4 linked regions of the Saccharomyces cerevisiae S288C genome follow. The protein of the gene in region 2 interacts with the protein of the main gene of each other region in a biochemical or structural test. Each region holds a gene or a part of one and is shown on either strand. Other genes may lie near its edges. The genes, in order: SOD2, YFH1, NFS1 and ISU1.

Region 1 (2,915 bases), on a different chromosome or scaffold from region 2:
TGAGCAAGAAGGCATATAATCTGAATGTCCCTCCTCCAAAGAAGAGACCGGGCTACATATCCAACAAGTTTAACATCGGGGACTCTAATTCATCTTTGAGTTCTTCGGGCTCTTCTTTGAAAAACGACTCCGCTAGTAACGAGGAAGAAGGATCAGACATTCATGTTTCTAGCTCAGTACCCAGTTTACACTCTCTAACAAATGAGCGCATGAGAAGCCACACAAATAGCGCATCTGATCTTGACTCTGTAAGTCCCGTGGAGCAACTGAGAGAGACTAATATCCATAATCCTTTGCCTGCTGATTTAGATTGGATAAGAAGAGAATTGGTTAATGATTGGTCATCACTAGGTGGTACTGATACCACAGCGCAGCTTCATCCCTATAAATTCACCCATTTCATCTTATCGAAGGCAATGGAAACAGGTGCTGTCGATCTTCTCCTAGGTAAGGTAGTTGGGCTAAAGTGTGACGAGATGGATTGTGTTCATTCTCTTAAGTACCTTCCATCTGTCGTCAAGAATCGCAGAAATAGCAGAGGGCATGCAGAAAATCCAGACATTAAGCTGGGTACAATCTTCAACGATGAGAACGCGAAGCCCATTGAAATCAATGACATCCAGCAGATTGTTTTGAGTATGGGACCCTGGACTTCCAAGATTCTAAAAGATTGTCCAATTTCTGGATTGAGAGCCCACTCTGTCACCATTAAGCCTAGTGAAAAGACAGTTTCACCTTACGCTATTCTTGCTGAACTAAAAGTTAACGACCGTGAATTTTTCTCCCCTGAAATGTATGCTAGAAAAGATGAAGTTTATGTGTGCGGCGAAGGCGACACTTTAGTCAATATACCTGAAAGTTCGGACGATGTGGAGGTAGTTTCGGAGAAGTGTGATGAATTGTACCATTACGTATCCAAATTATCGCCAACTCTATCAAAGGGCCATCTCTTGCGGAAACAAGCCTGTTTTTTGCCAGTTTTAAACGTTCCTACAAGTTCTGGTCCCTTAATTGGTGAGACAAATGTCAAGGATCTTTATATTGCAAGTGGACATTCTTGTTGGGGTATTAACAATGCGCCAGCAACAGGTAAATTAATGGCTGAGATTCTCCTTGATGGCGAAGCAACCTCTGCGGAAATCTCAAGTTTGGATCCAAAGTTATATTTCGACGCCACCATCCTTTCTTAATCAAGCCGAGGAGTAAAAAGGTCAAGAAAAGTATATGCACAAATTTGTACATATAAGAGCTTATTTATTTATATATTTAAAATTTCTGAGGCCATTTAATGTGTATATATTTAACGAATACCTAAATCTATATATTTCTTTTTTTTTTTTCTCTCTCTCTCTCTCTTTCTCTTTCTCTCTTGGCGTCTATCCTGTTTGCCCTTGCGCATGCTACCGATTGCACGTGTAGTATTCTACTTGAGGTTGAGCTGATTACTAATTGCTATTATCATTGTTGGCGCGACCTTAAACCTGGACCAATAACACAGGCCGAACCACTAGCTTCGCAAAAAAAAAAGTAGGGATGTGCCGAAAAATTTCCGCGACCGTAGCAGACACCCCTGATGAAGAAGCTATAACTTGTATATAAGAGCGTTGCATCCCCAAAATATACAAGCTAGCTACAGCGATTGCTTTTCACTTGCTGCTACAGGAACGAAACCCCAATTGATAACTATACCTCCTAAAAACGTACCAGGATGTTCGCGAAAACAGCAGCTGCTAATTTAACCAAGAAGGGTGGTTTGTCATTGCTCTCCACCACAGCAAGGAGAACCAAAGTCACCTTGCCAGACTTGAAGTGGGACTTCGGTGCATTGGAACCTTATATCTCCGGTCAAATCAACGAATTGCATTACACCAAGCACCATCAAACTTATGTGAACGGATTCAACACTGCTGTTGACCAATTCCAAGAACTCTCAGATCTTCTGGCCAAGGAGCCCTCTCCCGCAAACGCAAGAAAAATGATTGCTATCCAACAAAACATCAAGTTCCATGGCGGTGGTTTCACAAACCACTGTCTATTCTGGGAAAACCTGGCTCCAGAGTCGCAGGGCGGTGGTGAACCACCCACCGGCGCTTTGGCAAAGGCAATCGACGAGCAGTTTGGCAGTCTGGACGAGCTGATTAAGTTGACCAACACAAAGCTAGCAGGCGTGCAGGGCTCCGGATGGGCCTTCATTGTGAAAAACCTCTCTAATGGAGGCAAGCTGGACGTTGTTCAAACCTACAACCAGGATACCGTCACAGGCCCACTAGTTCCTCTAGTTGCCATTGACGCCTGGGAACACGCCTACTACTTGCAGTACCAAAACAAGAAAGCCGACTACTTCAAAGCCATTTGGAATGTGGTCAACTGGAAAGAAGCATCCAGAAGATTCGATGCTGGCAAGATCTGAAGAAAGAAAGAAAGAAAATACCTTTTTTTTTCCACTGTGTCGTTTTTATTCTAACTACTCTACTAAATCACACAACCACACTCCCCTATTTAATAATATATTTTACTATTAAAATACATATACATGCATCGTAAAAAAAGAAAAAAAGAAAAGAAAAGAACCGAAAAAGACAATACAACCAACCTTCCTCCACTTTTTCTTTTTCCTTGTTCTCTCTCGCTTCCTACGTTACTCGCGCCTGTGCACTACATTCCCACCAGATTAACTCACCACCAGGCAGAGAACCAATTGTTCTTGTTATTGTTCCAACCGATAATTGTAAAGCCATTAAGGTCGTAAACGACTGCTTACTCAGGGAGATCTCCGAAAACGGCAATTGCTGTGCACCGTGCGACGTTATGATCGCCGCCTGTCCCGTACAGACGAACAATTGCAACAATGGGCGGTTGTTTAGAGAGGTTTTGTGCCGCGCCCGGGAATTACCGGGGGCACAGCAAAATACGAA
Region 2 (2,618 bases):
TACAACAGTAAATACAACAAGCGCCGTACTATCCGCCAGTTTAGCCACCACAGTAACGGCACCGTTCGACACCATAAAAACGAGAATGCAATTGGAACCATCAAAATTTACCAACTCCTTCAATACATTTACATCTATAGTTAAAAATGAAAATGTGCTGAAGTTATTTAGCGGGTTAAGCATGAGGCTGGCAAGAAAGGCCTTCAGTGCAGGTATTGCGTGGGGTATATATGAGGAGTTGGTCAAAAGATTCATGTAAAAAATAGACACATATTTCATTGCAATCTCGCATTCTTCAAAAAAGGTATAAATACGTGTCTTTTTAGTTTCTTTATAGAGTGACGTTGAAGCTTAGTAGTACGTTCATACATACATACATACACACACGGTACAAAAGAAAAATCATATCAATAACAAGGAAGAGAGACTCTAACTATGAAATAGATTGGATGCGTTACAAGTGTTTAAATAAATATAAGAGAGTCGATGGATAAGTGCACTTATTGGCTTTTAGAAATGGCCTTCTCAACTTCTTCAGTAAGTATATCTGTTAGCTTTGTGCCATTTCTTAACGAAACCCACTCCCCATTGAGAAGGTCAAATCTGTTAGGCCCGGACAATGGTGATGCCAACCAAATTTGCTTATTTGGAGGCTGTTTGTTTATTACATACGTTCCAAAAGCTGGAATTTCCAATGTCATTACGCCATGGCTTAGCTCTACATCAGGTATACAATCCGGATGAGCCTCACTCAGTTCTTCTAAGCTATCTAGTAAATGGTCTAGGTAGTCATCTGCCTCTTCATGGTATTTTTCAAGCGGTAAGTTTAACACTTCTTGAGGCACAACTTGACCATCTGTCGAGGATTCTACAAATCTCTTCTGAAAAGTATTTACAGTATGATTCTTTTTATTTGTTACAGCTGGACAAAATCTGGCACGTTCTCCTCCTGCCGCTGCTATCATATATCTTCTGCCCATTACAGAGCTGACTCGAACTAAACTTGCGAGAGACCGCTTAATCATTGCTACACTCTATCTTCTCGCTTAGTTTTTTTTGAAATACTATCTTTCTGGTATTCAGTAGTACGTAACGATTTGTAAGTGTCTTCAAGCGAGGTTGCTTTCAATTAAAAATGCGATTCAAAGAGATCATTTACGGTTACTAATCCCTCATATCCTATAGGGCTATGTGGACATTGTAAGAAACGTGACTTTTCAAATATGATCACTGAATACGGTTTTTTGAAATTTGTCAAGTGCGATGAGTTGTATCTCTAAATCAAGCACCCATGATCTACGTTTAGTAAAAGAAAAGGACGAATTCCCTTAAAGTTCTCGGTGCCTAAGTCAATAAGTCCGGAGCATGAATCTATACGGTTATTTTTTACTTCTCATTATTGTGATTGCTTTCATTGCATTGTTGCCATTGTTTTCTGGCATCGGTACATTCAAACTAACAAAACCGAAATCGTCTGCAACAGCACAGTCAGCGACTGGTAAGCTTGGTAAGAGGGAATATTTGAAAAAAAAACTTGATCATACCAATGTATTAAAGTTTGATCTGAAGGACACGGAGGAAAGCCTTGGCCATGACAGTGCAAGTGCCTCTTCCGCTTCCAGAAAATTTGAAATAGACTCAAAGACAGGCCTTAAAAGACGTGTAATTGGACAGTACAACAAAGATCCAAATGATTTCGATTTCGATATTGATGACCTAATTAACGAAGATGAACTAGATGAACGGAGAGAAGAAGAGAAAAAGTTGAAGAAGTACAATGGTAAGAAAAATGAAGCTTACGAAGGATTTGTATAATAATGGAAGTGATTTTTGCAATTGTCCTACAAAAACTTTAGACATTCGTAACTAGCTAAACAATTGATTTAACGAATAACGTAGACTTTTAATTATTCAATTTAATTATAGTTATTGTTATTTACACAATTACGGATATCGTATTTATAACTTAGTTTACATCTTTACCAGAAATATCTCTATGGTCTTCTGTTCTCTCGAACTTCATCTGCTCTTGACCTTCCTCTTGCTCTTCACCTTCTCCTTGCTCTTGGCTTTCCTTTGGCTCCTGGACTCCTTTTTGCTCCTGCTCTTTTTCATCATCTTCTTCATTATTACTCTGAATAGCTTCCAAATCATCCTTCATCTTCCCAGTTTCTTCATCAAAGTCATATTCGTAAAATAACATAAATACACCGGGTGTTGAAAGGACTTCAGCTTCGTCCACAACGTACACAGTCTCATCAGATATTCTCCACCAACAACCCCTGTATTTTCTAAATGCAATGTAATGACCATAATTATGGGTACCGTAGTGAACAATGACAGAGCGCAATGAATATGTCAATGGAGTGGCTGGAACTGTGGAAAATGACCTAGCATAATTGATAGGTGGAGCTGGTATAACATCTTCCTCATCAGATGATGTTTCTAGTTGATCTTCAACATTGATCTTTGGTTCGTCAAGGCTCACATTGTCGATTTCTTGCAGTTCTTCATTATCTTTTACATTCTCGTTTTCAACATCAGAATGTTCTATGATCCTTTTTTTGATTGTATTCCCTAAAGCATCGGTTTCTTCAATGTACTCATCTTCATCATCG
Region 3 (3,868 bases), on a different chromosome or scaffold from region 2:
AAAGCCTTTGTTTACCATTGTTTTTATTTACCTTTTTAGAATTGTTCGAACAAAACCCTAGGTCTTGGCAACTGGCAATCGCTCAACATGACCTAATTTATAGCTTAGGGTTCTTTTTTGTCAATTCTATGCGTATGACAAAGAGCACCACGATGGTGATCGAAATCTCTAGGAGTAGCATACCACAGCGATATTATTTAGTAGTAGGCGGTTTATTATCTTTGTCCCTTTATACTGTTGTGTTTCTTGCTTATTGCTTCAGTAGGCAGCGTATAGTATAACCAGAAAAAAGTGAAAAATAAACTAAAAAAGCACTATGAGATGAACGGTAAAAATCCACCAGAGATTTGCTCACTAATAATCCTGTACCATGTCCATCAACCTACATTCCGCACCCGAGTATGATCCATCTTATAAGCTGATCCAGTTGACACCAGAGTTACTGGATATAATACAGGATCCGGTTCAAAATCACCAGTTAAGGTTTAAGTCATTGGACAAAGACAAGTCTGAAGTTGTACTGTGTTCGCACGACAAGACTTGGGTGCTGAAGCAGCGCAAACATTCAAACACAGTTCTACTAATGAGAGAATTTGTTCCTGAACAACCTATTACTTTCGACGAAACGCTCTTGTTTGGACTGTCCAAGCCGTACATGGACGTCGTGGGATTCGCCAAGACTGAATCAGAATTTGAGACCAGAGAGACACATGGCGAATTGAACTTGAATTCAGTACCAATATACAACGGAGAACTGGATTTCTCCGACAAAATCATGAAGAGGTCATCTACAAAGGTTATCGGGACCCTGGAAGAACTACTTGAGAACTCACCATGTTCTGCGCTAGAAGGTATATCAAAATGGCATAAGATTGGTGGATCTGTGAAAGACGGTGTGTTGTGTATTCTTTCACAAGACTTCCTTTTCAAAGCACTGCATGTACTACTGATGAGCGCAATGGCAGAATCACTCGATCTACAGCATCTGAATGTTGAGGATACACATCACGCTGTGGGGAAGGACATTGAGGACGAGTTCAATCCATACACAAGAGAAATCATTGAAACAGTGCTGAATAAATTTGCTGTTCAAGAGCAAGAGGCTGAAAACAATACGTGGCGCTTGAGAATACCGTTTATAGCTCAGTGGTACGGGATTCAAGCGCTAAGGAAATATGTTTCTGGAATAAGCATGCCAATTGATGAGTTCCTCATCAAGTGGAAGTCCCTTTTCCCACCTTTCTTCCCATGTGACATTGACATTGACATGCTGCGAGGCTATCATTTCAAGCCTACCGATAAGACTGTCCAGTATATAGCGAAAAGCACACTACCAATGGACCCCAAAGAACGGTTTAAAGTCCTGTTTAGGCTACAGTCACAGTGGGACTTGGAGGATATCAAGCCTCTAATTGAAGAACTAAATTCAAGAGGTATGAAAATAGACAGTTTCATCATGAAGTATGCCCGCCGTAAAAGACTGGGCAAAAAGACCGTGGTCACGAGCAGGTAGCACACAAAACTGCCTTCGATGGGCAATGCGAATATATAGCGGAACCACTAAAGTAATAGTGGATGACGTGAATAGCAACAAATATCTATCATAGTAGCTTTATATATTTATATATATTACAATACTATTATGCACCCTATTACCCGCAATAGTTGATAGTGACCTACCAATTTTAGATACGGTCGCTGACAAATAGTAAGGCCATCGCCCAGGGATATATGATGACTATCTAAGTAACTCACTCAGAGTAAAGACCGACAGAGTTCATTAGTGTGTTATATTTTCTATTTCAGATACATCATTTTCATTAAAATATATCGCATACACGAAGGAACTGCTACAACTGGAAGATGTTGAAATCAACTGCTACAAGATCGATAACAAGATTATCTCAAGTTTACAACGTTCCAGCGGCCACATATAGGGCTTGTTTGGTAAGCAGGAGATTCTATTCCCCTCCTGCAGCAGGCGTGAAGTTAGACGACAACTTCTCTCTGGAAACGCATACCGATATTCAGGCTGCTGCAAAGGCACAGGCTAGTGCCCGTGCGAGTGCATCCGGTACCACCCCAGATGCTGTAGTAGCTTCTGGTAGCACTGCAATGAGCCATGCTTATCAAGAAAACACAGGTTTTGGTACTCGTCCCATATATCTTGACATGCAAGCCACTACACCAACAGACCCTAGGGTTTTGGATACGATGTTGAAGTTTTATACGGGACTTTATGGTAATCCTCATTCCAACACTCACTCTTACGGTTGGGAAACAAATACTGCTGTGGAAAATGCTAGAGCTCACGTAGCAAAGATGATCAATGCCGACCCCAAGGAAATAATATTCACTTCGGGAGCGACCGAATCTAATAATATGGTTCTTAAGGGTGTCCCAAGATTTTATAAGAAGACTAAGAAACACATCATCACCACTAGAACGGAACACAAGTGTGTCTTGGAAGCCGCACGGGCCATGATGAAGGAGGGATTTGAAGTCACTTTCCTAAATGTGGACGATCAAGGTCTTATCGATTTGAAGGAATTGGAAGATGCCATTAGACCAGATACCTGTCTCGTCTCTGTGATGGCTGTCAATAATGAAATCGGTGTCATTCAACCTATTAAAGAAATTGGTGCAATTTGTAGAAAGAATAAGATCTACTTTCATACTGACGCCGCACAAGCCTATGGTAAGATTCACATTGATGTCAATGAAATGAACATTGATTTACTATCAATTTCTTCTCACAAGATTTACGGTCCAAAGGGAATAGGTGCCATCTATGTAAGAAGGAGACCAAGAGTTAGATTAGAACCTTTACTATCCGGTGGTGGCCAAGAGAGAGGATTGAGATCTGGTACTTTGGCCCCCCCATTGGTAGCGGGATTTGGTGAAGCTGCGAGATTGATGAAGAAAGAATTTGACAACGACCAAGCTCACATCAAAAGACTATCCGATAAATTAGTCAAAGGTCTATTATCCGCTGAACATACCACGTTGAACGGATCTCCAGATCATCGTTATCCAGGGTGTGTTAACGTTTCTTTCGCCTACGTGGAAGGAGAATCTTTATTGATGGCACTAAGGGATATCGCATTATCCTCGGGTTCAGCCTGTACATCTGCTTCCCTAGAACCTTCTTATGTTTTACATGCGCTGGGTAAGGATGATGCATTAGCCCATTCTTCCATCAGATTTGGTATTGGTAGATTTAGTACTGAAGAGGAGGTCGACTACGTCGTTAAGGCCGTTTCTGACAGAGTAAAATTCTTGAGGGAACTTTCACCATTATGGGAAATGGTTCAAGAAGGTATTGACTTAAACTCCATCAAATGGTCAGGTCATTGAGTGTTTTTTATTTGTTGTATTTTTTTTTTTTTAGAGAAAATCCTCCAATATATAAATTAGGAATCATAGTTTCATGATTTTCTGTTACACCTAACTTTTTGTGTGGTGCCCTCCTCCTTGTCAATATTAATGTTAAAGTGCAATTCTTTTTCCTTATCACGTTGAGCCATTAGTATCAATTTGCTTACCTGTATTCCTTTACATCCTCCTTTTTCTCCTTCTTGATAAATGTATGTAGATTGCGTATATAGTTTCGTCTACCCTATGAACATATTCCATTTTGTAATTTCGTGTCGTTTCTATTATGAATTTCATTTATAAAGTTTATGTACAAATATCATAAAAAAAGAGAATCTTTTTAAGCAAGGATTTTCTTAACTTCTTCGGCGACAGCATCACCGACTTCGGTGGTACTGTTGGAACCACCTAAATCACCAGTTCTGATACCTGCATCCAAAACCTTTTTAACTGCATCTTCAATGGCCTTACCTTCTTCAGGCAAGTTCAATGA
Region 4 (2,725 bases), on a different chromosome or scaffold from region 2:
AGTGCAGGGGAGGGGAGTATAGGTGTCTGTGGCTTGCTAGCTGTTGGTGCCACTCCTCTCATTGGTGATGATATCTCCTTCACCCGTGGATCAGGAGTCGCAACTGCTTTAATGCCACCAGACTCATTCTCAGTCGTGCTAGTATTAACAACAGGTAATGGTTTCTTGGCAGTGGAAGCTGAAGAAGAGGTAGACCGTTTGCTAAACAAAGATCCAAAAATCGACCTTTTAGTCTTTTCTCCACTAGTCGAGTTGCTTCTCTTGAGAGTAGCATTAGATGGTGAAGAAATTGGCGGGTGCTTTCCCTTGCCAACAGAAGAAGATGCGGTGGCGTTTATGGCAGAACTGGCCAGTCTTGGTTTGGACGAGACCACAGCATTGGATATAGAAGTGGAACGTTTTTTCCTTACAAATTGAGTACTTGAGCCGTTGTCATCATTATCTATAAGGTCTATGGCGTCTACGGTAGCCGGATTATCAATGTCAGCGGAATCGCTCCGGTTACCGCTATTAATAGGAGTAAGTAGCGGTATGTTATCAGTGTCTGATGCAGAGGTATTACCATCGTTCCTCTTCAAATCTGGTTTCTCAGTATTACAAAGTGCTGCATTGGATACAGATGACGACCTCGCACGAGGCTTATCATTGCTAGACCTGTTACCACTCGTGCTATTGTCTCCGTTTTTCGAAGAGGACGTAGATGAAGAGGAGGCTGGCGACGTAGAAGGCCTCGATGGCTTCGTATTTGTCTTCCGTCTACTCTTACCTTTATACAACCAATCTACGGGCACATCGAACTCGGTGTTAGTTATCATAACCTAGATGCTATCTCCACTCCCTATGCTTGCTTTGGTGGACTATTGTTTCCGTTATTCGCAATTTCTATAGGACTACTATAGATTATATAAACTGAATTTTAGCTTTATGCTGTGGTGTTATTTCCCAAAACACGCTCTTCTTTCTTACGCTTTCCGTTAGCTTATTTGCTCACGGTATCAAGATTACTTTTTTTTTTTTTTCTTCTTTTCTTTTTCTTGCACTACCCTCTTCTTCTTGTTCTTCCTTGCGTTTTTACCCCTCTTCCCTTTATTTTGCAGCAAAAAGAAAGATGGAAAGGCAAAAGTGAAGGCATGATGATGACAAACTTGAAAAGAAAGAGAACAGCGAAAAGAGATGAATAATCCATGGCAATGACTGCACGCTCATGGGTATCAATTGGCTAGGTCTAATATTGTTATTGTTTGGAGTATGGCGTAGAGAAGTGGTTCCTTAACCTTAATTAATGCCCGTGCCATGATGATTGCATCACTGAGACGTAATGTGGAAACACCACTTCTCGGTCCGCGGACATCAACCGAAGGAAAAATGACAAGCTATTTCCGTGTATATCCGCGCCAATCCCTTCGGGGCCGAAGTTCGGAGGCTTTATCTCCGCTTAGCCAAGGCCGTCAAAGGCGATAAGGTGCGTTGCACCCCAATTAGCCATGGAGAAGGAAAAAAAAAGCATGTATGATCATGATGATGCAAAAATTGAGAGGAAAAATGACTCAGGCTATTTATATAAGTAAATGAAAGGGTTTCGTTGTAGCCTTTTCTGCTCTCTTCCTTCGCTCTTCCGCATATATATTTGTGTTCAGAGATTATTCTTAAATCCATAAGAACATCCCTTCATATAACAATTGAATAAGGAAAACACAACACATAACACATATTTAACCTGATGCTTCCTGTTATAACGAGATTTGCAAGGCCTGCTCTGATGGCCATCAGACCTGTGAATGCCATGGGGGTTTTGAGAGCGTCCAGCATAACGAAAAGGCTTTATCATCCCAAGGTCATAGAGCATTATACACATCCAAGAAACGTCGGCTCATTAGATAAAAAATTGCCCAACGTCGGCACTGGTCTAGTGGGTGCGCCAGCGTGCGGTGATGTGATGAGGTTGCAGATCAAAGTCAACGACTCTACTGGCGTTATTGAAGATGTCAAATTCAAAACTTTTGGATGTGGCTCCGCCATTGCCTCCTCTTCATATATGACTGAATTGGTACAGGGGATGACCTTGGACGATGCGGCAAAAATTAAGAACACTGAAATTGCTAAGGAGTTGAGCTTGCCCCCAGTCAAGTTGCATTGCTCTATGTTAGCGGAAGATGCGATCAAGGCAGCTATTAAGGACTACAAATCTAAGAGAAACACTCCAACCATGTTATCGTAATGAATAAGAAGATAACCGGGACAAGAACAAGATCAAACCCTCACTAATCAACAAGTTGGACTTAATTTGTGCAAGCATGGATGTTTCTCATTAATATTGTCATATTTCTTTCCCTTAATCTAGCATTTCCTTTCTCTCCCTCTTCTCATGCATATCTTCCTAGATATATTTCTCCAGGGTGAAAGCGGGACGGACGTGCTTGTTTTACCTCACCTGGTACTACTAGTATTTTCATTACTCTTTTTTCATCCTCCCACTTCCCCCTTATATATTTGTTTTCCCATGTGTGGTATATGGCATCATTATTATATAAATATTCTTTAGTTGTAAAAGGCTGTTTTAATTAACACTATTTATCGCTAGACAAAACTAGACTTTCATTATTTCCTTCATTTCAACGCTTGTTTAAACATGTGCTAGGTAAGCGAGTTTTTTACTTTTACTTCCAATAAATATATATATATATATACGTATACATGTATGGGCGGGCTACAACAAAATGAAATA

What was found.
Region 1: the proteins of YFH1 (region 2) and SOD2 form a complex in vitro, tested with the Saccharomyces cerevisiae proteins (one study listed by BioGRID).
Region 3: the proteins of YFH1 (region 2) and NFS1 form a complex in vitro, tested with the Saccharomyces cerevisiae proteins (2 studies listed by BioGRID).
Region 4: the proteins of YFH1 (region 2) and ISU1 form a complex in vitro, tested with the Saccharomyces cerevisiae proteins (7 studies listed by BioGRID, with this or other methods).

What each region holds. Positions count from the first base shown.
Region 1 is NC_001140.6:122,384-125,298, reverse strand, and holds SOD2 (superoxide dismutase SOD2), read left to right. Parts: upstream 1-1,708; coding exon 1,709-2,410; downstream 2,411-2,915. Other genes in the region: TDA3 (Tda3p), read left to right, coding at 1-1,190; YHR007C-A (uncharacterized protein), read left to right, coding at 2,534-2,749. UniProt on the Saccharomyces cerevisiae protein: Destroys superoxide anion radicals which are normally produced within the cells and which are toxic to biological systems.
Region 2 is NC_001136.10:244,330-246,947, reverse strand, and holds YFH1 (ferroxidase), read right to left. Parts: upstream 1,026-2,618; coding exon 501-1,025; downstream 1-500. Other genes in the region: HEM25 (Hem25p), read left to right, coding at 1-259; EXP1 (Exp1p), read left to right, coding at 1,366-1,815; ubiquitin-specific protease UBP1, read right to left, coding at 1,967-2,618. UniProt on the Saccharomyces cerevisiae protein: Promotes the biosynthesis of heme as well as the assembly and repair of iron-sulfur clusters by delivering Fe(2+) to proteins involved in these pathways.
Region 3 is NC_001135.5:92,266-96,133, reverse strand, and holds NFS1 (cysteine desulfurase), read left to right. Parts: upstream 1-1,863; coding exon 1,864-3,357; downstream 3,358-3,868. Other genes in the region: DCC1 (Dcc1p), read left to right, coding at 371-1,513; LEU2 (3-isopropylmalate dehydrogenase), read right to left, coding at 3,716-3,868. UniProt on the Saccharomyces cerevisiae protein: Catalyzes the removal of elemental sulfur from cysteine to produce alanine. It supplies the inorganic sulfur for iron-sulfur (Fe-S) clusters. Plays a role in both tRNA-processing and mitochondrial metabolism.
Region 4 is NC_001148.4:295,833-298,557, forward strand, and holds ISU1 (iron-binding protein ISU1), read left to right. Parts: upstream 1-1,720; coding exon 1,721-2,218; downstream 2,219-2,725. Other genes in the region: protein phosphatase regulator GIP3, read right to left, coding at 1-815. UniProt on the Saccharomyces cerevisiae protein: Scaffold protein for the de novo synthesis of iron-sulfur (Fe-S) clusters within mitochondria, which is required for maturation of both mitochondrial and cytoplasmic [2Fe-2S] and [4Fe-4S] proteins.